7 linked regions of the Xenopus tropicalis genome follow. The protein of the gene in region 1 interacts with the protein of each later gene in a pairwise test. Links are inferred from orthologs where the notes say so. Each region holds a gene or a part of one and is shown in the gene's direction. Other genes may lie near its edges. The genes, in order: ppp1ca, phactr3, tor1aip1, ppp1r9b, aatk, sh3rf2 and sncaip.

Region 1 (2,509 bases):
TAACGGGGCCCCCCCTCCCCAGTTCCTGACTGGCCTGTTCCTCCCCCCCTACAGTTAAAGGCTGCCGCCCTGGGAAGAATGTTCAGCTGACGGAGAATGAGATCCGGGGGCTGTGCCTGAAGTCCCGCGAGATCTTCCTCAGCCAGCCAATCCTGTTGGAGCTGGAGGCCCCGCTGAAGATCTGCGGTGAGTAGGGCCCTGGGTGCCGAGGCTCCGCCTCTGTGTGTAGCTGCGGATCTGATTGGCTTCCCTCTCCTCCCCCCAGGGGATGTGCACGGTCAGTACTACGACCTGCTGCGCCTGTTTGAGTATGGGGGCTTCCCCCCCGAGAGTAACTACCTGTTCCTGGGGGATTACGTGGATCGGGGGAAGCAGTCGCTGGAGACCATCTGCCTGCTGCTCGCCTACAAGATCAAGTACCCCGAGAACTTCTTCCTGCTGCGCGGGAACCACGAGTGCGCCAGCATCAACCGCATCTACGGCTTCTACGATGAGTGTACGCGGGGGCGGGGCCAGGCTGTAACCCACGGTAACCAGTGCGCTCCCTAATGCCCTCTGTCTCCCCCTGCAGGTAAGCGGCGCTACAACATTAAGCTGTGGAAAACCTTCACCGACTGCTTCAACTGCCTGCCCGTGGCCGCCATCGTGGATGAGAAGATCTTCTGCTGCCACGGGGGTGAGTTCCCTGCTGCCCCCATCCCTCAGGGCTCGTCTGGGCAGCCCAAATGGGGTGAATACACACCCCACACCTTCTTAGCCAGTGTGCCCCCCCCCCGGGAGCCCCAAACCTTATACTGTACAGCCAGTGTGCCCCCCCCCGGGAGCCCCACACCTTCTTATACTGTACAGCCAGTGTGCCCCCCCCCCCGGGAGCCCCACACCTTCTTGTACTGTACAGCCAGTGTGCCCCCCCCGGGAGCCCCACACCTTCTTATACTGCACAGCCGGTGTGCCCCCCCCCGGGAGCCCCACACCTTCTTGTACTGTACAGCCAGTGTGCTCCCCCCGGGAACCCCACACCTTCTTATACTGTACAGCCAGTGTGCCCCCCCCGGGAGCCCCACACCTTCTTGTACTGTACAGCCAGTGTGCCCCCCCCCCCGGGAGCCCCACACCTTCTTGTACTGTACAGCCAGTGTGCCCCCCCCGGGAGCCCCAAACCTTATACTGTACAGCCAGTGTGCCCCCACCGGGAGCCCCAAACCTTATACTGTACAGCCAGTGTGCCCCCCCCCGGGAGCCCCAAACCTTATACTGTACAGCCAGTGTGCCCCCCCGGGAACCCCACACCTTATACTGTACAGCCAGTGTTCCCCCCCCCGGGAGCCCCACACCTTATACTGTACAGCCGGTGTGCCCCCCCGGGAGCCCCACATCATCTTATACTGTACAGCCAGTGTGCCCCCCCGGGAACCCCACACCTTCTTATACTGTACAGCCAGTGTGCCCCCCCATGGAGCCCCACACCTTCTTGTACTGTACAGCCAGTGTGCCCCCCCGGGAACCCCACACCTTCTTATACTGTACAGCTAGTGTGCCCCCCCATGGAGCCCCACACCTTCTTATACTGTACAGCCAGTGTGCCCCCCGGGAACCCCACACCTTCTTATACTGTACAGCCAGTGTGCCCCCCCCATGGAGCCCACACCTTCTTGTATTGTACAGCCAGTGTGCCCCCCCGGGAACCCCACACCTTCTTATACTGTACAGCTAGTGTGCCCCCCCATGGAGCCCCACACCTTCTTGTATTGTACAGCCAGTGTGCCCCCCCGGGAACCCCACACCTTCTTATACTGTACAGCTAGTGTGCCCCCCCGGTATACAGTTGTGCCTACTCTGGATCCATCAGAACCTGCCCCCCCCCCCCCCACTCACATCCCCATTTGTGTTTCAGGCCTCTCCCCCGACCTACAGTCCATGGAGCAAGTCAGACGGATCCTGCGTCCCACCGATGTACCGGACCAGGGGCTCCTGTGTGACCTGTTGTGGTCGGACCCGGACAAAGATGTGCTTGGGTGGGGGGAGAACGACCGCGGGGTCTCCTTCACCTTTGGGGCTGATGTAGTAGCAAAATTTCTTCACAAACATGACCTTGACCTCATCTGCCGAGCTCACCAGGTACGTCTGCTCCGCCCATTCCTTACTCCTCTCCCACCCCAGGTATGTCTGCTCCGCCCATTCCCACCCCACGGTACGTCTGCTCCGCCCATTCCTTACTCCTCTCCCACCCCAGGTATGTCTGCTCCGCCCATTCCTTACTCCTCTCCCACCCCAGGTATGTCTGCTCCGCCCATTCCTTACTCCTCTCCCACCCCAGGTACGTCTGCTCCGCCCATTCCTTACTCCTCTCCCACCCCAGGTACGTCTGCTCCGCCCATTCCTTACTCCTCTCCCACCCCAGGTATGTCTGCTCCGCCCATTCCTTACTCCTCTCCCACCCCAGGTATGTCTGCTCCGCCCATTCCCACCCCACGGTACGTCTGCTCCGCCCATTCCTTACTCCTCTCCC
Region 2 (3,500 bases), on another chromosome or scaffold:
CTCAGTAATTAAGGGGCAGAGAGAAGATTACAGAAACCTATCCCATAATTCCACACTCTGACCTCGGTGCTGCCATGTTGCCCCGCTGTATCAGCTCTCCCCCTGTCCCTCTATGTATATTGGGAATAAACCCTGCTTTTGGGTGGAGTTGCCCTTTAAAGTGCACCATGGCAGCTGATTAGCTGGTTGTTCCTGATTGGGGCAGAGCATTGGGTATAGTTCTGCTGCAGGAGTAGTCTCTGGTCATTGCTGTGCTCCGACTCTCAGCAGCCTGCGGTTGCCGTGGGATACGGAGACATAGAGAGATGGAGGCTGAAGGGAACTGGTCTGCGTTTCACTCCCAGTTTGTTCCTTCTCTCCCAGAGGAGATGGCCCAGTCCCCGGCGCTGCGCGCAGAATACGTGCTCTCAGGGACTCGCACGCCCCCCGCCCGGCGGAACAGCAAGTTGGCCACACTGGGCCGGATCTTCAAGCCCTGGAAGTGGAGGAAAAAAAAGAATGAGAAATTGAAGCAAACGACGGGTAAGAACTGGAATAATCCCCATCCCCACTGTACAGCTAACCAATGGGCAGGTTTACTTACCCTTTACTCATTCTTCCACTGACATTAGCACTTGACGCTTAGGGGCTCATTCTCACGGGGAAATCCCATCATTGGTTTCCATTTCACTCACTTTCAAGGGGAAGTTAATCCCATCATTGGTTTCCATTTCACTCACTTTCAAGGGGAAGTTAATCCCATCATTGGTTTCCATTTCACTCACTTTCAAGGGGAAGTTAATCCCATCATTGGTTTCCATTTCACTCACTTTCAAGGGGAAGTTAATCCCATCATTGGTTTCCATTTCACTCACTTTCAAGGGGAAGTCAATTCCATCATTGTTTTCTATTTCACACACTTTCAAGGGGAAGTTAATCCAATCATTGTTTTCTATTTCACACACTTTCAAGGGGAAGTTAATCCCCTCATTGTTTTCTATTTCACCCACTTTCAAGGGGAAGTCAATCCCATCATTGTTTTCTATTTCACCCACTTTCAAGGGGAAGTTAATCCCATCATTGTTTTCTATTTCACTCACTTTCAAGGGGAAGTTAATCCCATCATTGTTTTCTATTTCACTCACTTTCAAGGGGAAGTTAATCCCACCATTGGTTTCCATTTCACTCACTTTCAAGGGGAAGTTAATCCCATCATTGTTTTCTATTTCACCCACTTTCAAGGGGAAATTAATCCCACCATTGGTTTCCATTTCACTCACTTTCAAGGGGAAGTTAATCCCATCATTGTTTTCTATTTCACCCACTTTCAAGGGGAAATTAATCCCATCATTGTTTTCTATTTCACTCACTTTCAAGGGGAAGTTAATCCCATCATTGTTTTCTATTTCACCCACTTTCAAGGGGAAATTAATCCCATCATTGTTTTCTATTTCACCCACTTTCAAGGGGAAGTTAATCCCATCATTGTTTTCTATTTCACTCACTTTCAAGGGGAAGTTAATCCCATCATTGTTTTCTATTTCACCCACTTTCAAGGGGAAGTTAATCCCATCATTGTTTTCTATTTCACCCACTTTCAAGGGGAAATTAATCCCATCATTGTTTTCTATTTCACCCACTTTCAAGGGGAAGTTAATCCCATCATTGTTTTCTATTTCACTCACTTTCAAGGGGAAGTTAATCCCATCATTGTTTCTATTTCACCCACTTTCAAGGGGAAATTAATTCCATCATTGTTTTCTATTTCACCCACTTTCAAGGGGAAGTCAATTCCATCATTGTTTTCTATTTCACTCACTTTCAAGGGGAAGTCAATCCCATCATTGTTTTCTATTTCACCCACTTTCAAGGGGAAGTCAATTCCATCATTGTTTTCTATTTCACTCACTTTCAAGGGGAAGTTAATCCCATCATTGTTTTCTATTTCACCCACTTTCAAGGGGAAGTTAATCCCATCATTGTTTTCTATTTTACTCACTTTCAAGGGGAAATTAATCCCATCATTGTTTTCTATTTCACCCACTTTCAAGGGGAAGTTAATCCCATCATTGTTTTCTATTTAACCCACTTTCAAGGGGAAGTTAATCCCATCATTGTTTTCTATTTCACCCACTTTCAAGGGGAAGTTAATCCCACCATTGGTTTCCATTTCACTCACTTTCAAGGGGAAGTTAATCCCATCATTGTTTTCTATTTCACCCACTTTCAAGGGGAAATTAATCCCATCATTGTTTTCTATTTCACTCACTTTCAAGGGGAAGTTAATCCCATCATTGTTTTCTATTTCACCCACTTTCAAGGGGAAGTTAATCCCATCATTGTTTTCTATTTCACCCACTTTCAAGGGGAAGTTAATCCCACCATTGGTTTCCATTTCACTCACTTTCAAGGGGAAGTTAATCCCATCATTGTTTTCTATTTCACCCACTTTCAAGGGGAAATTAATCCCATCATTGTTTTCTATTTCACCCACTTTCAAGGGGAAGTTAATCCCATCATTGTTTTCTATTTCACCCACTTTCAAGGGGAAGTTAATCCCACCATTGGTTTCCATTTCACTCACTTTCAAGGGGAAGTTAATCCCATCATTGTTTTCTATTTCACCCACTTTCAAGGGGAAGTTAATCCCATCATTGTTTTCTATTTCACTCACTTTCAAGGGGAAGTTAATCCCATCATTGTTTCTATTTCACCCACTTTCAAGGGGAAATTAATCCCATCATTGTTTTCTATTTCACCCACTTTCAAGGGGAAGTCAATTCCATCATTGTTTTCTATTTCACCCACTTTCAAGGGGAAGTTAATCCCATCATTGTTTTCTATTTCACTCACTTTCAAGGGGAAGTTAATCCCATCATTGTTTTCTATTTCACCCACTTTCAAGGGGAAGTTAATCCCATCATTGTTTTCTATTTCACTCACTTTCAAGGGGAAGTTAATCCCATCATTGTTTCTATTTCACCCACTTTCAAGGGGAAATTAATCCCATCATTGTTTTCTATTTCACTCACTTTCAAGGGGAAGTCAATTCCATCATTGTTTTCTATTTCACCCACTTTCAAGGGGAAGTTAATCCCATCATTGTTTTCTATTTCACTCACTTTCAAGGGGAAGTTAATCCCATCATTGTTTTCTATTTCACTCACTTTCAAGGGGAAGTTAATCCCATCATTGTTTTCTATTTCACTCACTTTCAAGGGGAAGTCAATTCCATCATTGTTTTCTATTTCACTCACTTTCAAGGGGAAGTTAATCCCATCATTGTTTTCTATTTCACTCACTTTCAAGGGGAAGTTAATCCCATCATTGTTTTCTATTTCACCCACTTTCAAGGGGAAGTTAATCTCATCATTGTTTTCTATTTCACCCACTTTCAAGGGGAAGTTAATACCATCATTGTTTTCTATTTCACCCACTTTCAAGGGGAAGTCAATTCCATCATTGGTTTCCATTTCACCCACTTTCAAGGGGAAGTTAATCCCATCATTGTTTTCTATTTC
Region 3 (4,085 bases), on another chromosome or scaffold:
GACTTCCTTTGGCTCCCCTTCAGCTTTCTCCAGCCCCCCCCAGCGACTTGCTCTGGCTCCCCTGTAGCTTCCTTCAGCCCCCCCCCCCCAGCGAATTCCTCTGGCTCCCCTGTGGCTTCCTCCAGCCCCCCAGCAACTTCCTCCAGCCCCCCCCCCCCAGAGACTTCCTCTGGCTCCACTGCGGCTTCCTCCAACACCCCACCCCCAGTGACTTCCTCTGGTTCCCTGGGGCTTCCTCCAGCCCCACCCCCAGCGACTTCCTCTAGCTCCCCTGTGGCTTCCTCCAACACCCCAGCCCCCCCAGAGACTTCCTCTGGCTCCCCTGCGGCTTCCTCCAACACCCCAGCCCCCCCAGAGACTTCCTCTGGCTCCCCTGTGGCTTCCTCCAACACCCCAGCCCCCCCAGCGACTTCCTCTGGCTCCACTGCGGCTTCCTCCAACACCCCACCCCCAGTGACTTCCTCTGGTTCCCTGGGGCTTCCTCCAGCCCCACCCCCAGCGACTTCCTCTAGCTCCCCTGCGCTTTCCTCCAGCCCCTCCCCCAGCGACTTCCTCTGGCTCCCCTGTGGCTTCCTCCAGCCCCCCCAGCGACTTCCTCTGGCTCCCCTGCGGCTGCCTCCAACACCCCAGCGACTTCCTTTGGCTCCCCTTCAGCTTTCTCCAGCCCCCCCCCAGCAACTTGCTCTGGCTCCCCTGTAGCTTCCTTCAGCCCCCCCCCCCAGCGAATTCCTCTGGCTCCCCTGTGGCTTCCTCCAGCCCCCCCAGCAACTTCCTCCAGCCCCCCCCCCCAGAGACTTCCTCTGGCTCCACTGCGGCTTCCTCCAACACCCCACCCCCAGTGACTTCCTCTGGTTCCCTGGGGCTTCCTCCAGCCCCACCCCCAGCGACTTCCTCTAGCTCCCCTGTGGCTTCCTCCAACACCCCAGCCCCCCCAGAGACTTCCTCTGGCTCCCCTGCGGCTTCCTCCAACACCCCAGCCCCCCCAGAGACTTCCTCTGGCTCCCCTGCGGCTTCCTCCAACACCCCAGCCCCCCCAGCGACTTCCTCTGGCTCCACTTCGGCTTCCTCCAACACCCCACCCCCAGTGACTTCCTCTGGTTCCCTGGGGCTTCCTCCAGCCCCACCCCCAGCGACTTCCTCTAGCTCCCCTGTGGCTTCCTCCAACACCCCAGCCCCCCCAGAGACTTCCTCTGGCTCCCCTGCGGCTTCCTCCAACACCCCAGCCCCCCCAGAGACTTCCTCTGGCTCCCCTGCGGCTTCCTCCAACACCCCAGCCCCCTCAGAAACTTCCTCTGACTCCCCTGCGGCTTCCTCCAGCTACACCCACGTAACGGAGACATCATTACGTCTTCACGTTTTATGACGTCACTTGCGGCCGTTCGCAACTAGGAACTAGCAGCTACCCTCTTCCTGCATCGGCTTCGCTAAACGTTGTGGTGCGTCAGTCATAGTTTACCGTCGGAAACGTGGGTTAAGTTGGAGTGGTTCCGCATCAAGTAAAGTGATTTTATCGTGGTCAACGGTGTCATAGCTAAGGACAGTCGTCAACAATGAGCGTTCACGGAGGTAAAACAACCAACACCGGTAGGTAAGCCAAGCCCCAGACAGGAGAAGATACACTCCCTAAACGCGTTCATAAATTGTATTAGTTGGGTCACGGCAGAGGCCCAGAAGGAGTTCGCTTTATAGAATCGAAAGCGAAAGAAGTTGTCAGCCCGCGCTTTCAATCCATTTTAAATGCTTTTGTATGAAGCGATTATGAATGTATTATATCTGCTTTTTACGATCTGATCTTTCTAAGACTGTGTATATGAGAATTAGTAGATACCGAGGATCATATACACAGTCTTAATAATTTATTAATTCGCTATTTGTCCTATTTATCACTGTAGGGGGGGGGGGGCAGGTTCAGCTGTAAACGTTATAGTCTTTGCTGGGGCCCTGTCAAATCAATATTTATTTCTATATAGTTTGCTTTTATCTGGGGGTATGTCAGAGGTGGCTCCTGTTACACCTGCAAGTAGCCCCAGAAGCAAAAGTGAAATTCTGATGTTAGCCCTGAATCCTAGCACTTTTTGAAGGATTTCTATTTGACAGTATTTAGGACAAACCAATGCGGTTTTTACATTTTACTTAAATTTGTTTAAGCAAATTAGGGGTTGCATTCTCTTCTGCATACAGATTATTCTTTTGTGGAGGATTCAGTATTTAACCAACCCAAAAAATTGTGGATTTGGGGCAACAAGACGCACCAGCCTTTTTTAATGAATTCGTTTCATCACCAGAGTTGTGGGCTAATAAAAACAGAACCTATAGAGGAAGCAGGGGGCGCAGACTGCAGTGTCTGTTTCATCTATAGTTGTCAGAAATCCCCCAATCCCCAGCTGCTATCTTATCTACCCTGGGGAGCAAGGGTAGTGTGCTGAGCCCTTCCGAAGATTCTTTGCTGGGGGCCAAGCACAAATTTGTTACGCCACTGTCTCTTAATTTTAGATAAGATACAGAAATATATAAAACAGAAATGTTATTCTTCTATTACTGTTTATGTCTTTTCTCTAGATGCTTATGTCTCAAGAAATGATGAGGAAGAAGCACCTTTTTTAGGTAATGCAGATTTCAGGATCTAAATATGTCTGCCTCATCGCGGTGACGTGACACGAGAACGCAGCAAGGAGCGGGAGGACACAGTGGGGAGATGGGAGAGGGAGTGGGGGAGCCGGGAGAGGGAGAATGTTAGAGCAGGCCATAGTTTTAGGACGCAGATGGGAGCAGGCAGTGAGAGTGGGCCATAGTTTGAGGACTCAGCAGGGAGCTGGAGCAGGCTGTAGTTTGTGGGGTGGGTTATAGACTAGAGACTATATTCCAGCCCCCCAAAAGTCTGAGGGACCATGAACTGGCCCCTGTTTAAAAGTTTGAGGACCCCTGTTTTATAGCATTGAGAGTGCCATGTGTGTCTATTCCTGCCCTATGGTTAGATATCTTTAGGGATGTGTCATGCAGCATGACACCAGGTTCTTTTTGACTTAAAAGTGCATCACACTTCATCCCTACAATGATCACCACATTCTAAGTCCCTATATTGGGAACTGCCCCATATATTTTATTTTTTAGAATTCATGAATTCTGAGAAATGTTTTAGGAGAGTATTAGATAATTTTGGGTTAGATAAATCTCCCTGTAAGTGAAATGTTATAATTATGCTGGTTCTCCCTTTCTCTCCTATTTGCAGCAGACATGAAGTTGACAAGAAATTCAATCAGGTCTTCCAATCGAGGTAAAATATTTGGTCACAAAATTTTTTTTATTGCTTCTGGCTATACAAAATGAGGTAGAACTCTGCTTTTGATTTTATTTTTAAAGCTTATAGTAAGGTTCCTATCAATCCTTATATGAATCCCTAATGAACTGACTTTCAGAATGCTGGTCCCTGGTAAACTATGATATGGTAAACATTCCCCACCTGATGGCCTTAACCTTTAACATTCCCTGTTGGATTGGGTTTTCACTTGTCGACTTTGAGCAGCACAAATCTGATCTGCCTGCACTTAGCCACAGAATAATAGAAACTTTTTTGTAGCAGCTACTTTGGGCTGTGTTCTTTTTTACCTGCAGCGCTGAGCAATCTAATCTTCCTGCACTACTAATTGCTGTAGGCAGAGAAGCACAGATTGGTAGCTGCTGTGTCAAGCTTTTTATTACTTGCTAGATCAGGACAGGTAAATTGGATCAATCATTATAGTGTATTGTTGCTTAGCAAGGGTAAATGAAATGCAAGATGCGGGATGTGCTGGAGGAAATAAATGAGTAGACAGAGAAGAGAAAAAAAAAGTAGACAAGCATAACCTTGGATAATGAGGGGAAAAGAATTAGAAGTTAATAATGAGTAACAAGCTAAGGAAATCAAAATGGAGAAGTAATGGAAAGGAGAAAAGATAAACAGGTAGGAGAAATAATAAAAATATAGGAAAGCACAGCAGGAAAGGGGGAGGAAAGAAGAGAACAGATGCAGAGATAAAATATATGTAGAAGTAAAAAGAGTACAAAGAAAGGTAAAAGAATGGAAAAGTGGTTGCAAGCAGGGCTGG
Region 4 (3,500 bases), on another chromosome or scaffold:
AACCCAGATTGCTCATTGTCTTATTGTCAACTTTCTTCTTGTAGCTGGCAGGTCTTGAACAGGAACGTTCTCGTTGGAGGATGGAGAAGGCTCAGTTGCAGCAAAGTGTTCAGGAGAATAGGGAACGTGTGGAGAAACTACAGGGGTATTGGATGGAGGCTCAGAATTTGTGCCAAGCAGTGGATGAGCATTTAAAGGAGACGCAAGCTCAGCACCAGGGACTGGAACGCAAGTATGGCAAAGCAAAAAGACTCATCAAGGACTATCAGCAAAAGTAAGTCCAGAAACCCAGATGAAACCTACCAATGTACTTGCATTCAGGCTTTCTCTTATTTATTCACCTACATATAATTTCTCTTTCTTTCCTTACTGATTTGCTTATTTTCTATTATTCATTAACCTTCTTTTCATATTTTTTATACTTGGTTCTTTCTTTGATATATGACCACAGCTTAGTATCTCTGCCCATCCATTGATGAGGCTTGGTAGCTAATCAAACTTCTTCAGGCATAAATATAAAGTATGTGTGGGTAGGCATAATGTGAGCAGCCTGGAGAGCAGTACACTGCAAATATCTGTAAAATAACATAGTTTCTACAGGAATTATTTGGTAATATCGTGTTGACAAATAACAGTTGCAGTATCTGCCAACCCTCATGACATGGGGTTGGTTGACAGCTCTGCAACTGTTCAAGGCTGACTAGGGGTGTGGCAGTTTAATGTTAGAGATCCATCCTTATGATCCTTTTTATTATATCCAATGCAGCAAGCTAGAACCCACAAAAATTAACATTGGCTTTTTTGCCTGGTTCAGCATTTAGACATACACCCTTTGAAATTACCCTTTAGTATTAAGTTGTTCTTGGACACTTTGCAGTTGCTGTACTAGAAAACCATGATGTACATATAAGGCATGAATGTGAACAACCTCCATCCACAGGGGCAGCTTAGGTCGTTACAGGAAATGAGGGACAAAAACCTTATTTTTCTGTGAAAGGTGTTAGTCTTAATATAAGGATGAGCTTCCTGTGAATCCTGGCCTGTTCCAGTTGCTGGTTCCCAGCAACCCCCTTCTTGCTAACCATGCTTTCCTTAGTGGATATGTGTACTTTATATCAGAGACTGGAAGAATAAAAGTTTCATGTTTTTCCTGTCTACTCACAGCTCTAAGTGCGACTGGCGCTCTGAGCCTTGGTCTGTGTGTGTGCTGCCCCCCCATGGGGTTCTGTAGATCTGAATAGAATATAGTTGCTTATAACTACAGGTCAGCTCTGTGACCTTCTGGAGTTCAGCAATAATCCCCATAAAGCATTGGTCTTAACCTGGCCACTAGTGCCATACAGCATTGGCATTATGTATAGAGTGTAATAGAACAGCAGCATGTATGTAAGACCACTAGATGGATTATATAACAAGTATAGTAGGGATTTTGGTTGGAACCAAATATTGGTCACCATTTTCAAATCACCTACTAGGTTCATGTCCAGGTTGCAACAAAGCTTAAAGCTGCCTTAAAAAGCAGCCCGGCCATGCAAATACAACAGCCCAAAAACATGGCTCCCCTAAGCAGTGGCATAGGCTGAGTAAGTTATAAATGAGGATAGCAATAAAGGGTGTGTATTATCACTAAGGTAAGGTATCTTCACACTGCAGACTGAGTGAATATCATGCATCTTAAAGAGAAGCAGATGGGATCAGTTCACACTGTGGGATCAGATCTAATACGGGGGGGCCCAAGAGAAGAGCAGCATGCCTAGTTATATGATGCTACTGTGATAAATACCCAGCCTGTTACAGATGAGTCAGTCAGGAAATCCAGAATATCCCTGCTCCCTAAAATAACCCCGCTTCTGCTATCTGTTTAAAAAAAGAATGAGGGGTGGATAGGAGCAGCAGGGAAGGAGAGCAAAATGTGCAATTTTGGCTCAGTGCGACTGACAACAGAGTGGGTGTTTCCTGCAGGGATGGCAAGGAGCACAACATAAGTCACATATCTACAGAACCACCATTTCCAATCCTCATTATAAATTAAGGAATTATTAATTTCTTTGCTACAACTATATGCTTCTTTCTTAATTGTTAATAACTTCTCATGAATTGGAAAGGGGCTTCATGAATTCTAATGGATCCTGAATATGTTAAAGTAGAAGGAAAGATACGATGGGGGGTTCCAAATGTTAGGCACACCCAGTGATTGTAACCACTTACCTGATACTCCGGGCCAGTGCTCCTAGTAACATAGTAACATAGTAAGTTATATTGAAGTTATTGAAAAAAGACAGAGCAGGCAAATACACAAGTTCAAATACAGGCCAGAAGTCAGGGCAGGAGGAAGACAAATTCAAATAATAAGTCAATGGTCAGGGCAGGCGGCAAGCAAATAGACAAGTCACAATTACAGGCCAGAAATCAAAACCAGAAGGTCATTAAATACAGAATAAATCTGTAATAGATCAGGAATATGCTCACATAATGGCACAAAATGTGGGTCACAAGGATGTACTCAAGGCTTTCAAAAACAGAGGCACACACAGGAAAGCATGAGGCAAGTTTTCTTCCGTCAAACCATCCTCATATCTATCTATCTACTGTATCTATCTATCTATCATCTCTCTTTTCCCTTCTGTTTTTGTTATTCATCCACCTGTTTCCTCTATCTTGTGTAACCCCTTCCATCTTCTTATCCATACAGTTAGGTCTCTAAACTATGACCTGTTCCCAACCAAATTGCATCTCCTATATATCCACCTCCAACCCTAATCAGGTAGTTCAAATTGCATAATACCTGTATCCTTGTGTTTTCTCTACAGTCACCCATTGTCTGGCTCCTACCATCTTCCCATACATTGTTGCTTTCCTCTTTCATCAAATTTGTATTTCTGCCCATTTTTTTAATTTGTTTTACGCAGTCAGTCTTTATTCCCTATACCAACATTTGTTTTCTTTCTCAACCACATGCCTAATCCTTTCTGCCTACTCTCTACCACCTATATAATCACCACCGCCCTCGCACCCAAGTGCCTTTACTAAATCTTTTCTCCCTTTAATTGTTTCTTATTGACAGTCCTTCCCAGCAACCACTTGAGCTCTTTTCTATATTCTCACATACTGACACTAATGCATCACATAAACCACTTATTTTCCACCTCTGTGTTCTCTTCGCATGCTTCGTTCCACTCCTTCCTACCCCTTGTCCTCCCACTGAACATCACTCAGATATTATCTTGATTTCTATTTATCCACCAGCTTTTTCATCCTTCACCCCCATGGCTTCCCCCTCACTGGCTCTATATCACCCTCCTGCCAAATGTACCAGCTCTACATTTCCAATATATTCACTCATTTATGCTATCTATAAAGGTTGCCACCCTTTTGCCCACAGGGAGCTGGACTTCCTGAAGAAAGAAGAAATGCAGAAACAGACACTGGAGGAGGTTGAAACTGCACATGCTACAGAGATTCAGAGGCTACAAGAGAAGGTGCGTCTCTGGCTTCCTTCA
Region 5 (3,500 bases), on another chromosome or scaffold:
CCAGTGCATTAAGTAGAATAAAGTGGCACACAGTGAGTCCAATTGTACATTTACTTACGCCACGTTCATCAGCATCAACTGCATTCCAATAGATGCTCAATAGTGAATATGTCCCATTTGTTTAGAAGGTTATAGTGCTTTAGTAGTCACACTGCTGTAGATTCAGGCACACCCAGGTTATCAAAATAAACCTTTACCTCAATTCGCAACCTAACTGCATTTTAAGCAGAGTATCCTATTAGCCACTCTCTGTCTTGTCAGGAAGAGCAGTCTCCCAGTTTGGGAAGTACTTTTCAGAGAGCAGAAATCTAAAGATGGTGTATTCCATCTTGGCATATTGACAGCTGACACATGGAAATGTAGCATCATTTTATACAGTTGCAGTATGAGCTGAAAACATTATTATCATTAATACTGTACTAGAATGTGATTCCATGATGTGTTACAGAATGTCCTGTGTCCAATGTAGAATATAGGGAGGTGGATTCTGAAATGTAACTGTGGTGGGGGAATCTTGCCATAGGGAAATACAGCATAACATTAACTCATAAAGTCAGATATATAACATTATTGTAAGAGACTCCCTTCAATAGTTCTAGTAGCTTGCAGCACAGCGACTAAATACTCTTCCCAGATCTTACCCAAATTTGGCTCAAGGCTGGGCCTGCTAGGTGGGCTATGCCTACCGTTTGAAAACCTCTGCTGTGCACAATGTATTACAAACCAGGCACATTTTTTAATGTTAAATTGTGTTTTTTTTTACAATACGAAGTAAAGCCTCATGATAGTAATTTAATTATGTATTATATTCTAGGTTTGAGGTAATGCAGTTTTGCTGGCTACAACCTGAGCAGAGACCAACTGCAGAGGAGGTACATCTTCTGCTTTCTTATCTGACTGTGAAAGGAACCAGCGAGCTGGAGGAGGAGTTTGAGAAACGGTGGAATTCTATGAAGCCTACTGGTGGCACAGGCAGCGGTAGTCATCACGAGACTGAACTCTCTTCATACCCACTGCTCGAGCACTTTTCCTCTGATGGATTTCACACTGATGGTGATGATGTGCTAACTGTTACTCAGACTAGTCAGGGACTAAATTTTGAATACAAATGGGAGAGTGGCAAACATGAACAGTACCCTCTAAATCCAGGCTGCCCGGCATACCAAGACATGTACTTTACTTCAAGTACTGGGGACAGGCTGAGTCTAGGAGTATCTCCATCGTGCTATGAAAGTAAGGAGGGAAATTCTGGTCCTTGTCCACTTGAGGTAGTTCCAGTTCTTAGTGCTCACAGCCCATCAGTGGCAGGAGATTATTATATTCGTATTGAAGAACCTTTAAGCAGCAATGTTAACCAAAACTGCAGCCCACAATATGGAGAATACCCTATACAAGAAAAGGAGAATACTGAGGAGGATCTAAGTGACAATAGCCCTTCTATTTCTTTATCTATGGAGCCTTTAACTGATGAAACAATCTGCAGTAATAAACAGGACAAGGTTCTAGAGAAAAGCTATGAGTGTTCTGAAATGGCTGATACATCAGAAGAGATTCATGTGAAAGAACCCTCACAAGAAGAAGAATGTTGCTCAGTTGCATTTTTGGACCCCCTAGGGGTCGCTCCAAATTTGAAGCAGCTTTGTCAGGCTAGCTTAGGCTCAGCACAAGTGGCATTTTTAAAGAATTCGGAATCTGAAGATACACGATCTAATGTTTGTGAAACACAAGTAGATTCTGTAACACTGAAACTTGAAAATGAAGGAGAAACCCAACAGTATAATGAATTTCAGGAAGATCTACCTACTGTGACCTCTCACTTAGTGGCCTTTTCCCCCCACTGGGCATCAAACATCTCCTCAAACAACAATATCTCCACTACTCCTCTTGACTTCAGTTCTGCATCCTGGTGCAATCGCCGTTCTGGCGATTCCCAGAAAGTCGACAAAGAACCCTATGGTCCTGAATCTTGGCAGAACATGGAATCAGGGGAAGGAGAGCCTACAGGATGTTTGGCAGAGTTAGAATGCCATGATAAAACTTTGGTTGATGGTGAGAAATTCAAAGATTGGTTAGGAAAAACCCTTGACATATCTTTAACGCCTTTAGAAGCAAAATTGAGTGACCTAAAAATAACCCAGAACACAGAATATATAGAACCCCTTCTTTCTACTATGGAGCATCAAACTAATGCTGACAGAGAGTCTGAGCATGAAACTGATCCACTTGGTGCTAGTATAATAGGGTACTGTACTGCCCCTGCACAACCAGAAGCCATGCATTCTCTTAATATATCCAAAGAAGGGGACTATGTTTCTCAAGAGATCTGTTCACCGATATTGACAGATGAATTCAGTGGTCAATGTATTTCACCCATCAAAGAAAGGGAAAGCCCTGAGGAATCCTTCCCTACAGATTTATATCAGAGTGATGATGAAGACACAATGGAGATTACCTCTGGGGTCTTTACTGATCTTTCCAGTGAAAGGGGCGATATTGTTCAAACTTTTAGATCTCTTCAGAAGCAGGTTGGCACTCCAGATTCTTTGGACTCTCTGGATATGCCTTCCACTGCCAGTTCATGTGAGGCCTTCAGCCTCGGAACATACACCCCCTGTGGGCAGCACAAAGCTCTAGATAGTGGCTATGATACTGAAAACTATGAGTCACCAGAATTTGTACTGAAAGAACCTACAGATAGCAGAGAATCTGATACTTATTGCCAGGGAAATCATGAAACTGGTCTTGGGTCAGAAGAAATGCCAATATCTAGATCAGTAAGCAGTGATCTACAAGGCTTGGATGCCAAGAATCCATACAGAGACTCTGCATACTTTTCTGACTATGAGTCGTTTACCCGGGAAGAAGAAGAAGTTGATGGTGATCAAGAACTAGATGGGGTGACTAAGGAAAAAGATTCTTTGGAGATTCAGGACTGCAATCTAGAAAAGTGTTCTGATGATACAAAAACTGATACAAAGGGTTCAGTAACTTCTCAGCACCAGGAAATCCCAGATAACAGTTCACCTCTACCTTCTCTACCTGTGCCAAAAGACTGTTTATTAGTTCAGCCCCAGCTCATGGTGAGGCAAGACTCAGTGGATGAAGGGCTAGGTCTTGAATGTCAGAAAGAACACTCTGTTGAAAAACTTTCTCCTTTGCCTTCATCTGTAGAGTCATCTTCACACAGGACCTTCACACTGTCACCAGTTCAGTTGTGCCTGACAAAAGAATGCACTGTTAAGCAAGGGACTCTGGGTAGTATCACCCTCACTACTGGCCTTCAAATGGAAGAAAAGGTGATTTCTTGCAACAAGGACACTCTGAGTACTCACCACGTTACAAAATGCCTTTCCCCTCCTCTTCCTCGTAAAGATGGTAAAGGTGGAGATTCTTTGGATGAAGAGGATGATGAAGAAAGTGAAGATAGTGATGAGTCTGATGAAGAACTCAGGTGCTATAACATCCAGGAACACAGCGAGGAAAGTGAGGAAGAGCATGGC
Region 6 (3,500 bases), on another chromosome or scaffold:
TTGTTTTAGTGACTATGAAGCCTTCATCATCTTTGGTTTAACTGCATATTTCGAATAAGATGGATGAATTGGTTGTTCTTGACCTCCTGGATTGCCCCTTATGCCTTGGAAAATTGGATGTTAATGCCAAGGTGCTGCCATGCCAACATACCTTTTGCCAGCCTTGTCTGCAGAGACTATTTAAAGCCAAAAAGGAACTGAAATGCCCAGAATGCAGGACCCCTGTACAATGCAGCATTGAAGAGCTGCCAGCCAACTTATTATTAGTACGAATACTAGATGGCTTGAGAGGTGGGCAAACCCTTCTGAGAAGAAACTCCTCACGGAGGATGGGGGGACTCTTTGCCCAAGATTCTTTAAAGAAGAGCAAAGCAAACAGAGCAAGCCAGGATTCTACAAGTAGGACCATTTCCAAGGCCAGGATGCCTGTAGATGGGGTAAGAAAATAGGCTGTAATTTCTCTATAATTAAGTGGGTGAAACCATATGGCATTCTAAATAAAACACCAGAATAGCTACATAGCTACAATAAAAAGCAAGAATAGCTACATAATATTACAGATAGTAAAGCTACGCAGTTTAGAGTAATTTCCTAGTGCAGTTATAGGGCTTTTTCTGATTTCTTTCAGTGGGAAGGGGATGGGTGATACCTCCACTGCCACAATTTAAGTGATTGATATGAAATGGTAAAGGTTGTTTTGTCTATATGGTTGTGAAATCTTGTCTTGCATAAGACGGCAGAAACCAGAATAATATTACATCTTATAAAAGCACCTTTTACATGTCTCAACATCATCGATATTGAGACGTGTAAGTCATCGACATTAAGTCATACATATTTTTTCAATAAGAGGTTAAAATCCATATGTCGCTTCCATGTTGCTTGCATTAGATGAATTAATGAAAAAAAATCACAGTGCATTTATGCAAGAACGCTCAGCGCTGAATGTCAATTCAATGCGGCTTTTTTTATCCTGTTATCACACAACAGGGATAATCACGGATTCATGATGACTGCTCATAAATCTTGATCATCTGCATAAGGGATATGTCTTGAGATTGGGTATTATTAGCTCTAAATCAACATTTTACCTAAGGGTCTAAATAACTATTTAAGAAGTCAGCAGAACATATGGCTTGGTATAATGCACCAGATGCTCTTCCAAATCCTAATTTAAGAAAAAAATAGGCATTGTTTTGTATTTGATACTTAAAATATTGCATTTTATACATACCTAGGGCATGTTTTTTTCCATTTATGTCATGTAATAAAAAGTGCAAAGTTTATTCCAGGTCTAGTAACCCATAGCTACCAATAAGATTTTTAAAAAGTAGCCTGGTAAAATGCTGCAATACATTTATACATATACATTTATAATACTCTTTAACTGCCAGCCGGTCATGGAGGTACTTTTACTGTCTGACCATTTTTTAACATTTTTCACTTTAGGGGCCTTTCCTAGGGGTAATTTTAGTTTACCTTGGAAAACAGAATTTTTGTGAATTCCACTTCTGTAACAAGATATAGGCTTCTAAGTGTCTAAAAATGAAGGAAAACGTGTTTTTTCCGTAATATAAATACAAACATCAATCAATATAAATGAAGCATCAATTATGTTATGCACAAAAATAGAAGTCAGGTCGTGCAACAATTGTGTCACTGACTTGGCAGCTCCCTAGCTCAATGTGTTGGGGGCACATCTGACTCTCTGCACCGGCCACAAAAGTTGCCAGTGCAGAGGAGAGCCCTTAACTGCAAAGCATGTATGTGGAAGTGCAAAAGTGTTAAAGAAGGACTATATCCCTAGAATAAATACTTAGCCAACAGATTATATCATACAATCTTACCAAATTGGAATATATATATCAGTAAACATTTGAGCCGCCATTAAGTGATGGGCTGTGTGCTCCCTCAGAGATCACCTGACAGGAAATAATGCAGCTCTGACTGTAACAGGAAGTAGTGTGGGAGAAAAGACAGAACTCTGTCCATTAGTTGGCTGATGGGGCCATTTCATTTTATCTGATTTTCTTCTCCAGAAGAGCAAACTTCTTTAATCGTAACTTATCCTGGGTTCAATGCAGGTGTGGCACAGCAGATGCACACACAGCCAATTGTATATCTTTTTTGTCATCTGTATTGTCAGGAAGCAATCAAAACCTTGTAATTATCCTTTTAAATTTCTTTCTTTTTAACACACAGGCAAATATTTATAACCTTATTCACTTACATGTTGTATTCACAGCCAGATTCTGTTCCAACGGCAAGTGGCACTGGATGAAATTGTTCATCCTATCACAAGGTTATCATATACCATTTGGCACCCGGCAAGGTGTTTCTATAAAGTTCTGACGGGGCAAAGGAGGATTTTTAAAGTAGAAATTGTATTGGTTGATGTGAGCAAGCTGCTCTGTGATGAAACTTTTACTACTAGGCAAACACCTGAGAAACTGTTAATTGCCAACAGCCAGAGCACGAACTCTCCTTTTTTTAAGTTTATGATTACATCTCCTTTGCATACAGCAGAGGTCTCCAAGCTTTTTTTTACCTGTGAGACATATTCAAATTTATAAAGTGTTGGGGAGCAACACAAGCATGAAAAATGTACCTAGGGGGTTGTTATTGGCTATTTGGTAGCCCCTACATGGACTGGCAGCCTAAAGAAGACTCTGACAGTACACCTGGGTTTTATGCAACCAAAACTTGTCTCTAAGCCATAAATTCGAAAATAAGCACATGCTTTGAGGTCTCTTGGAGCAACATCCAAGGGGTTGTTAAGCAATATATTGCTCCTGAGCCACTGGTTGGGGATCACTGGCATACAGTATTCTTCTCTCTGGTGGCTCTTGGATGGAAAATACTTTCTGCTTTTACCATCAGTTAGTAGTCTGTCAGTAAACAATGTTTTGACTACCTAAAGAGTATACATGCTTTCCTCTGGATATGTGGTGCCAAGTTGGTTTCATTAAGGGTTAAACTTTGTAGATAACTATGTAACAATGCAATCATCGATACCAAACACAATACCAAAACGCTTGCCTAAAGTCTGAATAAATGAAGTATATGTTGTAACATGCCAACCACCCGCCGCCCCAACACTTGTGCTTCTTTTAAGCTGGAAGTTTGACTCTGATCTTGTTTCTGTGCCAAGCTAGCATATAACTCCACCACCCAGCCTCAGTGCTTCTCAGCAGCTGCAGCTGGGAATAGTTCTTCTTGTATTTATGCCAACAGAAAATGCATCTAGTTCTTACGGTTAACTGGAAACTGAGATTTAGATGGTATATGATGAAGCTTTGTGTCTGGTGTTTTCAAGACATCATCAAATTTCAATCAGGATTATATTTAATGTGAACATATAATTAACCCTAACAACGTGGGCAGTGCTTACTTTAAAATAAAGGGGGAAAAGATTATCCATAGTCACTTTAACCAATCCCTTTATTGTTAAAAGAACCACTGCCAGCATTATTAACTATCTTCAAAGGCAGCTGCTGCCA
Region 7 (4,045 bases), on another chromosome or scaffold:
TGAAGGTGCATTACAGAGAAGCAGTGGGCACTGTTCAGGGAGGTGTCTGTAATGTCAGTGTATTAAGTTGTAGGTAGGGCCAAGGCAGTCAGAGGCAGAGACATATGTGCTGGTAGTGATACTTGATCCTGCTCTAAAAAGGCATTCCAATCTACAGTTGACTGACAAAGCCTGTGAGACTATTGCCATAGCAAGCAGTGGTTTCCTATCACCTCCTGCAGAGCTACTGAAAATCATGGGCACCAAAAAGTCATAAAGGCTTTATAGCATTTATGTAATATAACTAATTAAGTTACAATGATTTTACTCTATACCTGAGTTCTTCAACTATGATTCTGGAGTGCCTTGCCTGCTTTGCATTTTCTTTTCTCCAATAAGGACTCCCTTATGCTGAGGGCCTGGGGCATGAGCACCTGGACCAACCTAATATACTGGTAAGCTTACCCTCTACTACATTGAATGCTTAGATCTGTAGATTTTTTTTGTAGATTTTCACCAAAAAGTCAGAAGTCACTCTGTGCGCAACCGCCACATGCCATCCAATTTCTTGCAAAGCTTTGTAAAAAATAAACTATGCACCATATTTATTATAGTGTCCCTGCACCCAGTCAAAGCTGTGATACTGCCAGGTTACACTGGCATTACTAACATATCAAGAGTTGTGTTTTCCTTCGATGTTACAATACATATACATAGCATCACTCTGCAAAACCCATACGGAACATAACACCGTACAACCCCAATTTTACGTTTTTCAGTGGACCAGAAAAAATGGTGTAAGATCCTAGAAAAGGTAAAATCAGGGAAATGTATGCCTATATGCTTTGCACTGCATGCTGATGGTTTTAATACACCCTTATGAGGGAATCTCTTCCCAGCACAACCTGATGAGTCTTTTCATTGTTGCTTAGCTGAAGGAGCATTACAGACAGGCTTCACGTCCCGATAGTGGCGGTACTGCAGGACACAATTACAATGCGGTCACTAATAAAAGCGGGTCAGTGCTGCAACCCTGCTGCGCACCTTCCCTCAGCGCTCCCAGCAGCTCCCCAGCTCTGCCTTTCTGCAATAGCTCGACGCCTCATTGCTAAGAAGCAGGGCCGTGCTATTGACCTAATAGGGAGTGGCTAGCCCTGGCTCAGGTTTCTATTCCACAGCTGAACCCAATCAGCCGCTGGAGGTGTGGCCTTTCTGCCACAGTTAACCCTATGTGCCTATGAGGCAGGCCCATATGTGTGTGTAAGGCTGCCGCTGTATGGGAGGCCGTTTTCATTGCATTTCTGCTTACTGTACTGGAGTGCCGGGACTGCCAGTGGACAAGGCTTTTGCACAAGGTGAATACAGGAGACAGGTCCAGGCAAGGCAAAGGTAAGATGAAAGTTTGCTTTGGCAGAATGGAAAAAAGGGGACTCTAAGAGAGGTGGTACATTCCAGGAGTGACGGGCTGTTACCTATTTGCCGGGATCCTATTGACAGGATGATGGGTAGCGCTGTAGTACCGCTTCTCTGCATCCCTCACTGAGGGAAGGGACTTTTTGTCTGGGGAGCAGATGCTAATTGTATCTATAGTAACGGTGCCTGTTCCTTTTGTGCTGCTCCTTTCAGAAAGGCTACAATGTACTGGGGTACTGCACGCTGAATCTCATTATCTTCATAGCCAGGATGTGATTTTACTGGCCATCATTGATTTATCTTCCAAAGTGTCTGTTGGCTACTATAGATGGTGGCAGCCTGGCTTGCAGTGCTGTCTAGGTTGTAAAGAAGACATTATGTGTAACACTGAATACCATGAAATACCCAAGCCTGGGGGGTACCATAATCCAATGCATGACTGTCAGGGGATTCTGGGAGATGGAGTCCAACAGAAGCTGGAGGGCCCCATATTATGCATTTCTGCTCCCATACCAGCCTTTAGTTTTAACCGTGCTAAATGAATATGAAGCCCATGTATGACAAAGATATTGTGCTATTTATGATGTCATGTGAGCAACATACCAGCCCAAAAACTGAAGAATACCATTATTTAAAGCAACCTTGCACCAAATCAGGGCTTTGATAATGCTGTGCCCTGCTACAATGGCATCACTGAAGTAATTGTTATGATTTGCATTTTACTTTGCCTTAGAACAAAGGGATAGCAAACGACAAGATTACAATAGAGCACTGTACACAGCTGATGCAGAAAAGGTACTGTGCCCTTTGTATTGTTTGCTCGGCTGGGGGACGTTGCTCTTAAAGGCGCTGTCAGAGAGCTCACTTTATTCCAATTAGAGGGCTCACTTCATCCCAACACACTCCCTCAGGGGTTCTTATCTGATGTACCTCCGAGCTCTGACCCCATGCTGCTGGGGAGATGAATGACTCCAGTTGTGGCACCTTGCCATTCCATGGTACAGAATGCCTTGTGTGACAGGATGTTCTGTATACATTCGGATACCTTTTTTTCCCTTGGTAGCGTATGTTTCTCCTCAGTGAGACTTGATCCTGCTCTGAAACCACATTGTTCCCTATTTCCAGGTTTGGAATGCTGCGCTGTCTTTCCTCGCATGTTTTTCATCAATGATTTCTAATGTTTAGTGCCTGCCCCCCATAATGTGTTGTGGGATAGCTGTCAGGGGATGGTGGGAGTTGGAGTAGCCTTTGTGAATAAGCAATATGGCACTAAATGAAATCACTACTGGTATTTTTTATGGGGGGGGGGTCGATATTGATACCATCAGTTGGATTTCTGAAGCTCCATTGTACCACATGGGGTTAACCAGGAGACCTATTGCAGTCTGCCTCATTTCATTTATTGAAGGACTGCTAAAGAAGCTCTAGAAGAGCACAGAGGATTTTAAAGAAAGCAATTTAAATGGACATATTTCATGTGCGGCTTGACATTTGAAAGAATAACCTAACTTGGCGAGTAGGCTGAAAAATAACCATATAACTCACATGCAAGCAATTGCAGGTATCAGATTGCTATTAATAAATGCTACAAGGGTATGCATGCCTGGGATTAGGAGTGCCGCAGGAGCTGGAATTCTGGTGCTCATTATGGTACTGTTTAGCTGTACTGTGAGGCACTCTGCTTTATAGGAAATTCTGCTCTTGTCTTTCTCAGTTTAGTTGTGAACCCCAATATTTTGGGCTACACGGTTCCACAAAACTCTAGAATGATATATATCCCAGTATTATCACTGTGTACAGCAGCAAAACAGAGAGTGGAATTCGTTTTAAAAGCAAATTTCAATCTAGATCAAGGGCTTTCAGGCCTTCAGCTCTGATTTATTCCCATCATCCTCACACAGCCAGGTTCTGCAACAGCTGATAGGCCATAGGTTGCACAGCTCTGGTCTAGATAGCATATTAACAGTGTCAGAGAATAACCATCCCCAAACATAATTGCGTTGCCACTAAGAGTTCTCTCCTTAGGGGTTCAAGCAGGAGTGACCAACCTGAGTATGAGAAATCTCAGAAACATACAACATATTCAGCTTTTGAGTGTGCAGGCATCATTAGTAGCAGGCATGATAATGCAACACCACCCAAACAGCACTAGGGGGAAAAGTGTATGGAAGGGACTGTTGTTGTATACAGCAGGTAAAGAAGGGTAAGGTGGTGGCAGTAGTACCTTCTGTAAGTGGCACCCATCTTTCAGCCTTTCAATAATTATACAGCTCAAAGCTCCCACCAGCAGAAGAATGCTGTCAGGGATGCTGAGAGTTGTAGTTTAACTGCTGAAATAAATAATAGTGGTAATTATGGTTGAACGTGATGGACGTATGTCTTTTTTCAACCCAACTTACTATGTTACTATGTAGCTCTTGTTTTTAAACCCCAGTCAAAGATGCCTTTTAATTAAAATTATTTACTCCAAAGAAAGAGTCATTTTGCAAACATGCAGTTTATATGTACCAAGAGATTATCCCCGGTGGGTGTGACATTTACTACATGCTGCTGACAAATTTGCAGTTATAAGCAATGTGCATATTTGAAAGAGTTTTCTCAATTTTACATGTTTGCAATGGGACTGAACACCTGGCTGCAGACTCCCCTTATG

What was found.
Region 2: the proteins of ppp1ca (region 1) and phactr3 interact in a two-hybrid assay, tested with the Homo sapiens proteins (2 studies listed by BioGRID and IntAct). The link is inferred for Xenopus tropicalis from reciprocal best matches to the Homo sapiens genes PPP1CA and PHACTR3.
Region 3: the proteins of ppp1ca (region 1) and tor1aip1 interact in a two-hybrid assay, tested with the Homo sapiens proteins (2 studies listed by BioGRID and IntAct). The link is inferred for Xenopus tropicalis from reciprocal best matches to the Homo sapiens genes PPP1CA and TOR1AIP1.
Region 4: the proteins of ppp1ca (region 1) and ppp1r9b interact in binary tests that used the Homo sapiens proteins (3 or more experiments, as listed by UniProt). The link is inferred for Xenopus tropicalis from reciprocal best matches to the Homo sapiens genes PPP1CA and PPP1R9B.
Region 5: the proteins of ppp1ca (region 1) and aatk interact in binary tests that used the Homo sapiens proteins (3 or more experiments, as listed by UniProt). The link is inferred for Xenopus tropicalis from reciprocal best matches to the Homo sapiens genes PPP1CA and AATK.
Region 6: the proteins of ppp1ca (region 1) and sh3rf2 interact in binary tests that used the Homo sapiens proteins (3 or more experiments, as listed by UniProt). The link is inferred for Xenopus tropicalis from reciprocal best matches to the Homo sapiens genes PPP1CA and SH3RF2.
Region 7: the proteins of ppp1ca (region 1) and sncaip interact in a two-hybrid assay, tested with the Homo sapiens proteins (2 studies listed by BioGRID and IntAct). The link is inferred for Xenopus tropicalis from reciprocal best matches to the Homo sapiens genes PPP1CA and SNCAIP.

What each region holds. Positions count from the first base shown.
Region 1 is NC_030685.2:492,457-494,965, forward strand, and holds part of ppp1ca (protein phosphatase 1, catalytic subunit, alpha isozyme), read left to right. Parts: intron 1-54; coding exon 55-186; intron 187-265; coding exon 266-496; intron 497-571; coding exon 572-676; intron 677-1,894; coding exon 1,895-2,118; intron 2,119-2,509. UniProt on the Homo sapiens protein: Protein phosphatase that associates with over 200 regulatory proteins to form highly specific holoenzymes which dephosphorylate hundreds of biological targets.
Region 2 is NC_030686.2:3,418,816-3,422,315, forward strand, and holds part of phactr3 (phosphatase and actin regulator 3), read left to right. Parts: intron 1-363; coding exon 364-522; intron 523-3,500.
Region 3 is NC_030680.2:101,249,751-101,253,835, reverse strand, and holds the start of tor1aip1 (torsin-1A-interacting protein 1), read left to right. Parts: upstream 1-1,285; 5' UTR 1,286-1,550; coding exon 1,551-1,584; exon of another isoform or gene 1,585-1,588; intron 1,589-1,635; exon of another isoform or gene 1,636-1,745; intron 1,746-2,559; coding exon 2,560-2,604; intron 2,605-3,229; coding exon of another isoform or gene 3,230-3,232; coding exon 3,233-3,274; intron 3,275-4,085. UniProt on the Homo sapiens protein: Required for nuclear membrane integrity. Induces TOR1A and TOR1B ATPase activity and is required for their location on the nuclear membrane. Binds to A- and B-type lamins. Possible role in membrane attachment and assembly of the nuclear lamina.
Region 4 is NC_030686.2:18,323,232-18,326,731, forward strand, and holds part of ppp1r9b (neurabin-2), read left to right. Parts: intron 1-44; coding exon 45-274; intron 275-3,382; coding exon 3,383-3,479; intron 3,480-3,500. UniProt on the Homo sapiens protein: Seems to act as a scaffold protein in multiple signaling pathways. Modulates excitatory synaptic transmission and dendritic spine morphology. Binds to actin filaments (F-actin) and shows cross-linking activity. Binds along the sides of the F-actin.
Region 5 is NC_030686.2:26,681,854-26,685,353, forward strand, and holds part of aatk (serine/threonine-protein kinase LMTK1), read left to right. Parts: intron 1-814; coding exon 815-3,500. UniProt on the Homo sapiens protein: May be involved in neuronal differentiation.
Region 6 is NC_030679.2:39,625,394-39,628,893, forward strand, and holds part of sh3rf2 (E3 ubiquitin-protein ligase SH3RF2), read left to right. Parts: intron 1-9; 5' UTR 10-59; coding exon 60-437; intron 438-3,500. UniProt on the Homo sapiens protein: Has E3 ubiquitin-protein ligase activity. Acts as an anti-apoptotic regulator of the JNK pathway by ubiquitinating and promoting the degradation of SH3RF1, a scaffold protein that is required for pro-apoptotic JNK activation.
Region 7 is NC_030677.2:169,743,172-169,747,216, reverse strand, and holds the start of sncaip (synphilin-1), read left to right. Parts: upstream 1-1,245; 5' UTR 1,246-1,368; intron 1,369-4,045. UniProt on the Homo sapiens protein: Isoform 2 inhibits the ubiquitin ligase activity of SIAH1 and inhibits proteasomal degradation of target proteins. Isoform 2 inhibits autoubiquitination and proteasomal degradation of SIAH1, and thereby increases cellular levels of SIAH.